2 linked regions of the Callithrix jacchus genome follow. The protein of the gene in region 1 purifies or fractionates together with the protein of each later gene. This does not show direct contact. Links are inferred from orthologs where the notes say so. Each region holds a gene or a part of one and is shown on either strand. Other genes may lie near its edges.

Evidence for each region. Proteins that work in one complex are often made in the same cells at the same time.
Region 2: the proteins of EGFR (region 1) and AP2B1 purify together in Homo sapiens (affinity purification with mass spectrometry; 4 studies listed by BioGRID and IntAct, with this or other methods). This does not show direct contact. The link is inferred for Callithrix jacchus from reciprocal best matches to the Homo sapiens genes EGFR and AP2B1.

The regions. Positions count from the first base shown.
Region 1 is NC_133512.1:22,475,053-22,478,801, forward strand, and holds the start of EGFR (epidermal growth factor receptor), read left to right. Parts: upstream 1-1,416; 5' UTR 1,417-1,674; coding exon 1,675-1,762; intron 1,763-3,749. UniProt on the Homo sapiens protein: Receptor tyrosine kinase binding ligands of the EGF family and activating several signaling cascades to convert extracellular cues into appropriate cellular responses.
Region 2 is NC_133506.1:98,757,121-98,760,769, reverse strand, and holds part of AP2B1 (AP-2 complex subunit beta), read left to right. Parts: intron 1-477; coding exon 478-643; intron 644-3,043; coding exon 3,044-3,142; intron 3,143-3,649. UniProt on the Homo sapiens protein: Component of the adaptor protein complex 2 (AP-2). Adaptor protein complexes function in protein transport via transport vesicles in different membrane traffic pathways.

The sequences.
Region 1 (3,749 bases):
CTCAGCCCAGGTGTGCATATGTGGAGGAAGCACACACGTGCCTGCAGAGCCGTCACAGCCTCTGCATCCAGGGGCTGACTTCAACCTGCAGTGGCTGTCCTGATTGGTTAAAACAAAGGAACAAATTACTTCTCCTGATTCACAGGGGAAGTTCCAGGTTGCAGCAGCGGTGAGGAGCTGGCAGTGAGGAGTCGGCGGTGAGGAGTTTGCGCTTGCCCTGCTGAAAACCCCACCGTTTAGGCTGCAGGGTGTGAAACTCTGGCACAGACAATTTGCTGGATGGGAAGGAAAGAAGCAAGGTTGCTCCCCTCCAGGGACAGCAAAGGGCAGCAAAGGGCTCCACTTACTTCAGGAGTGTGGTTCTTGACAGAGCCGGGAGATCAAGGTTGTTGAATCAGGCCGGAAAGTCCTAGTGAACCTTGTGGAGAGGAGGGGTCTGTAACATGGACCTAGAGGGCATTTTTCCTGTAGGAGAAGGAACAGTGGGGATAGGGTGCACTTGCAGAAGGAATGTAGCTCAAGTTCCTGCAGCCCAAAGCAGCTCAGTTTCTTCCGGCCAAAGCCTCTGCGAATTTCCCTGGCATTTCTCCTGTGGGAGCTACCAGGGCAGTGGGACACTTAGCCTCTCTAAAAGTATCTCCACGGCTGTTTGTGTCAAGCGTTTATTCCAAGAGCTTCCCTTTTGCGAAGTACTGTGCCTCACACATTGGCTCAAATTACCCAGGGTCGGTTACAATAAACATTGAGGAGGCCTGTATCTGAGCTCGGAGTTGGGTACCCTCATTTCATTCAATTTCGAGGGTGCTTGACGGGATCTGAAGGACCCTCGGACTTTGGATCAGCACCTCGGACGCCTGGCACTCCTGCTGCACAGGCACGGCAACCGCCTCAGCTGCCAGGCCAGCCTCTGAGCCCTGGGAGGGTCCCAGGGTGCTGCAGGGGAGGTGGGGACCAGAATAAAAGAGCAGTTTCCCCGTCGGTGCCATTATCCGACGCTGGCTCTAGGGCTTGGCCAATCTGTCCAAAGCTGGTACAAGTTTGCTTTGTAAAACAAAAGAAGGGAAAGGGGGAAGGGGACCCTGGCACAGATTTGGCTCCATCTCAGCATAAGCTGGGCCTGCAAGTCCATGGAGACTGAGTCCAGAGGAGCAGTGCTGGGAACGCCCCTCTCGGAAATTAACTCCTCAGGGCACCCGCTCCCCTCCCACGCGCCGCCCCTTTCCTGCCGGAGCCCGGGTCCCGCGGGGGTCACCGCTGTCCACCGCCTCCGGCGGCCGCTGGCTTTGGGTCCCTGCTGCTGGTTCTCGTCCCTCCTCCTCGCATTCTCCTCCTCCTCCGCTCCTCCCGATCCCTCCTCCGCCGCCTGGTCCCTCCTCCTCCCGCCCAGCCTTCCCCACGTCCCGGCCCGCGCGAGCTAGACGTCCGGGCAGCCCCCGCGCCGCGCGGCCGCAGCAGCCTCCGCCCCCCGCACGGTGTGAGAGCCCTCCGCGACCAAGGCGGCTGGAGTCCCGAGCGAGTCCCGGGGGCCGCCGCCGCCCAGCCGGGACGACAACCCACCTCGGCGGCGTCCGCCCGAGTCCCCGCCTCGCCGCCGCCACAGCCACCGCGCACGGCCGCCTGACTCCGTCCAGGACTGATCCAGGAGCGTCGGAGCGAGCTCTTCGGGGAGCAGCGATGCGACCCTCAGGGACGGCAGGGGCCGCGCTCCTGGCTCTGCTGGCTGCGCTCTGCCCAGCGAGTCTGGCTCTGGAGGAAAAGAAAGGTAAGGGCGTGTCTCGCCGGCTCCCGAGCCGCCCCCGGAGCGCGCCCCGGACCCCGCAGCTAGCCCAGCCGCGCACCGGCGCACCGGCTCGGTGCCCGCGCCCCCGCCCGTCCGTTCCTGTTTCCTTGAGATCAGCTGCGCTGCCGGCCGGGACCGCGGGAGGAACGGGACGTTTCGTCCCTGGCCGGGAGAGTCCGCGGCGGGCGGAGGAGGAGACGGGGAGGGCACCGGGCTGCGGGCGGGGCGGAGAACGGCAGCTGGCACCTCCTGCGGTCCCGACCGCTCCCAACTTTTCTCCCTTACTTTCCCGCCTCTCTGCGCGGGATCGGCGTCCGCGGCCCGGTGGGCGCCGGGAGCCGGGGTCCCGCATGGCGCCCCGCGTTGTCCTCCCAGGGCACGGCGGGGTCGGAACGCGCACCCGAGGGGCCAGCGCTGCCCACCCGCAGGGCCGCGCGGTTTAGGGAAGCTGAGGAAGGACCCCGAGAATGCAGCCTCCCCTCGGACCCCGCGGGACAGGCGGCTTCCTGAGCTGACCTCCCGCCTCCGCCCTCCGCGCGAGTCTCACGCTGAAGCCGGCGTGGGTCAGCCTGGCCCCGGCGCCTCTCCGGGTCCCCGCGAGCCTCGTTCCCGGGTGTGGAGTAGCAGCCTTCACCTGGGAGCTGGGAGAACTCGTCTGCCACCACCTGCGGCTCCCGGGAAGGGGTGGTGCTGGCGGCGGTTAGTTTCCTCCTTGGCAAAAGGCAGGTGGGGTCCGACCCGCCCCTTGGGCGCAGACCCCGGCCGGCGGCTCGCCCCGCCCGGCGCGCTCTAGTTCGGCCGGTCCAGGTGTGTCCCGCTGAGGACCCGACCTCCCTCCGGGGCGCCCCCCCCCGAAAGCCCCGGGCTCTGGTTCGGTGGCCATGTCGCGGGTTTTCCACGCCTGCAACCCTTCGGTCGAGCCTGGGCTTCGCGGTGGAACGGGACGCGGCTGTCCGGCCACTCCAGAGGGGGACCGCGGGACTCTTGCGCGGAAGCTCAAGGAGCAGAGCCGGTCCTGGCCACACCACGGTGTTTCAAAACGGGGCTCACAGCAAACTTTCCTTCTCAAAACCCGGGGAGTTTCTTTCTTGGATGTTTCTCTTTGCCGTTTGAAGAATTTGACATTGGGCCAACCAAAATATTAAACCTGTCATACACACACACACACACACACACACCAGATTGATGTCCCTGGTTCACGTGTGCCAAGTCTCCAGACAGAACATGAGCGAGTCTGGCTTCGTGACTACCCTCATAAACCCATCTGACATGGGAAACATGCCTCAGGTTTAATTGCACAATTCCAGCCTTGAGCTGCGCGGGTTCCAGGAGCCAGGCCCGTACTTGCTGTTGATGTCACTGGCATGAGGCGTTGGGGTTTGGTGCCCAGCGCCGTTGTTGGGGGAGGGACAAGGCATAGAACAGTGGTTCCCAGACCTTGCTGCAGTTTAGAATTACCTGGGATTTTTTAAAACCAAAACAGAAACCAGTGTCTGGCTCCCACCCCCAGACATTCTGATTTAATTGACATGGGGCAAGACCTGGATATGGTATTTTTAAAAATGCTTTTCATGTGATCTGTTGGGCAGCCAGGTTTGGGGATCACTGCACGGAAGAAGGATTGTTAAAGTCTCCGGAGAGATTACTTGCCAATGCAAAGAGCTCTTTGAGGACATCTGGAGTTTTAACAATCTTGCCAAATATAGGAAAGAGGGGAAAGGTAGGGTGTGATTCCAATAATAAAGGATTTCTCTTCTCACTGAAGGAACTCTTGGAAAGATTCCTCCTCTGCTGAGCCTACGCGACCCTGTGAGTCAGGTGCCAGCCCTGTCTCTGCGGAAGAGCAGAGACTCTTCTCTTTATTTTAAATTAAACATGCAGAGCACCTCCAAAGCATCACTTTCCTCCCTCCAGCGGTGTTCTTGTTCTTTGATGTTACTAGCTTGAACACCTGTATTAGTGGCTGGAG
Region 2 (3,649 bases), on another chromosome or scaffold:
AGAACCTATAACAAAGTATCAGTCTCATGCCGTTTCTGAAGTATTGTAGTTACTCTCATACAATATTTTTTTAAAAATCTACATTTTCACAAGTTTTTTAGATTGAACACTCTTAGTATTTGAAGCAAAAATACTTTTTTAGATTTGATTTTTGAAAACAAGTAATTAAGGAATCTGAAAGTGAAATAAGAGAAGGTTTTGTAAGCATCTTAAGCCTATGTTGCATTACACTCATAGAGATATCTTGTGCCAAAGCTTCTGATTGTTTTTTTGTTTTTTTTTTTTTTTGAGATAGAGTCTCAGTCTGTTGCCCAAGTGAGTGTGGTGGTGTGATCTCGGCTCACTGCAACCTCACTGCTTTTACAGTTTGGTGGTTTGGTTTAGGGTCCCTTGTTTGTGGTTTTGCCTTTAACCTTCACTATTAAATATAATTCTTAGTTTGGCTTTTAATAACCATAGTTCATTTTTTCACATCAGGTATGAAAGTATCATTGCCACTCTATGTGAGAACTTAGACTCACTAGATGAGCCAGATGCTCGAGCAGCTATGATTTGGATTGTGGGAGAATATGCTGAAAGAATTGACAATGCAGATGAGTTACTAGAAAGCTTCCTGGAGGGTTTTCACGATGAAAGCACCCAGGTAAGTTCTTATCTTTTGTCTATCCTGGTAGTTTTCTATGTCTTTGGGGAGATTGCAGAGAAAGCAAAGGTTATAGGCAGTTTCTTCTGTGTCTGTATTTATATATAGTGTGTTCATTTTTCTCCCAACAGGGATGTCCCTTTTCGGTTTAACTAATTTTTTTTTTTTAGTTGGCATCTTGCTCTATTGCCAAGGCTGGAGTGCAGTGGCACAATCTTGGCTCACTGCAACCTCTGCCTCCTGGGTTTAAGCAATTCTTCTGCCTCAGCCTCCTGAGTAGCTGTGACTATAGGCATGTATCACCACACCTGGCTAATTTTTGTATTTTTAGTGGAGACAAGGTTTTACCACGTTGGCCAGGCTGGTCCTGAACTCCTGACCTCAAGTGATCCACCTGCCTCGTCCTCCCAAAGTGCTGGAATTTTGGGTATGAGCCACTGTGCCTGGCCAGTTTTACTGATTTTTTTTTTTTTTTTTTTTTTTTTTTTTTTTTTTTTTTAGACAGAGTCTTGCTTAGGTGCCAGGCTGGAGTGCAGCAGTGCGATCTCAGCTCACTGCATCCTCCTCCTCTGGGTTCAAGTGATGCTCTTGCCTCAGCCTCCTGAGTAGCTGGGACTACAGGCATATGCCACCATGCCCAGCTAATTTTTGTGTTTTAGTAGAGACAGGGTTTCACCATGTTGGCCAGGAAGGTCTTGATCTCTTGACCTCGTGATCCACCCACCTCAGCGTCCCAAAGTGCTGGGATTACAGGCGTGAGCCACTACACCTGGCCTTTTTTTTTTTTTTAAACAGAGTTTTGCTCTTGTTGCCCGGGTTGGAGTGCAGTGGCACGATCTTGGCTCACTGCAGCCTCTGCCTCCTAGGTTCAAGTGATTCTCCCTCCTCAGCCTCCCAAGTAACTGGGATTACAGGCACCTGCCATCACACCTGGCTAATTTTTTGTATTTTTAGTAGAGACGGGTTTCACCACATTGGCCAGGCTGGTCTTGAACTCCTGACCTTAGTCGATCTGCCCACCTCGACCTCCAAAGTGCTCGGATTATAGGAGTGGTCCACCGCGCCTGGCCAGTTTTACTGATTTCTAATATTCAAAACCTATGTAACTCAGACCAGTACTTCTCAAACTTTAGTGAGCATTATTAACACCTGGGGGAGCTTTTTAAAGCACAAGTTGCTGGGCTTCAGCCTTAGAGTTTCTGGCTCAGTAGGTCTGAGATGTGCCTAAGTATTTGCATGTCTTACAAGGTCCAGGATGTTGCTGCCGCTACGGCTGGCAATACATAACCACTGGATTAGAGTAGTAGTTAACACTGCTTTTTTATTTTCTGTCACCTAAGAATGACTGCACATTTCTGTTAGTAATAGCTGTGGCTCATTATAGCAGGGATTTTCACTGGGGGCTGTGGTGAGTTTTGAAAAGATTATCTGTGGATGAAAATTCTGAGACTGCTTCTCACTTTCCCTTACCAAAATTAGAGCCATGGGACCGAGAAGCAGATAAATTATTAAGCCCTTTTTGTCTGTCATTTGTACTCAAAGCAAGTAGAAGATCATGTATATGATTTATCATAACAATTTTAATAGATCTAAATCAAGGAGTATGTACAAGTCAATAGCTTTGTGATTTAGCAGCCAACTCCTAATAGTCTGTAATCTGACATAATTCTACTGTCTTGGCTCTTGCCCCAGTATGACAGATGATTCCATAATTCCCCCCAAATTGTAGCTTTTGGTAGAAGTAAATAATAAAAGACTTGCTCAGGAGTCAGTTTTATCACCATCAGTATGTTAACATATACTTTAAGAAATACAGACCAGGCTCAGTTACTCTTGTCTGTAATCCCAGCACTTTGGGAGGCTGATGGCAAGAGAATCGCTTCAAGCCAGGAGTTTGAGACCAGCCCTGGCAACATTGCAAGACTACATCTCTACAAAAAGATACAAAAATTTACAAAAAAAAAAGAGGTTTGGTGGCTTGTACCTGTAGCCCCAGCTACTTGGGAAGCTGAGGCAGAAGGATTGCTTGAGCCCAGGAATTTGAGGCTACAATTCATAAATGTGCATCTGGGCAATAGAGGGAGACCTTGTCTCAAAATAATTAATAATAATAAGAAGAATAATAAACATAGGTAACTATCTGGCTTAGAAACAAGCAGTGTTTTGTGCCAAAAATGCATTTTGAGGATAGGAGGATAGAGTTTTCAGTTGAATACCTTTGTATTTCCCATGAATATTTTTGACTGCTATTGTTGATATTGATGAGTTTTAACCTTTTTTCTCTTAACCAACATCAGAAAGACTCCATAGTAATTCATAGTTGCGGAAACACCACTTTGGAGATGATGGCAGGTAATGATGCCAGTGCCATTCTTTCACTCTATCAAATTATCTGTTTAGGTGCAGCTCACTCTGCTTACTGCCATAGTGAAGCTGTTTCTCAAGAAACCATCAGAAACACAGGAGCTAGTCCAGCAGGTCTTGAGTTTGGCAACACAGGTAAGAAATCTGGAAAAAGTGAGGTGTTGATTTGTCTTGTTTCAAATTGTAGGAAATTATGACTCTTCCTAGGGGGTTCATTTGGGGAAGTTTTATTTGAAGGAAGTATGGCCTTTAGATCCTGTTAAAATGTTAAAACAATGCCTTTTAATGTGTTCAACTGAATTGTAGCTAATTGTATGGCTTTTAAATGAGTTGGCTGACTCCACTTTTCATAATTCATGAAAATTGAACATAGACTCTTAATGAAGGGCATACTTAGATGAAAATGACGTGTTCTGATACTACCAGCTTCTCTGTGACTTCATTTCAGCTTTCAAATGAAAGTACCATGTGGAAATAGGAGATGGCCTCAGCAAAGTTTCATGCATTGTTCTACCTTCCAGAGGGATTGCCTTTCTCTTGGAAATAATTTTAAAGTACTTATGCTGCTTCCTTGAATTATTTGATATATTTGGACCTGTTTGGAATTATTTGATTTTTTTGGTCAGAGGAAAAGAAGTTCAG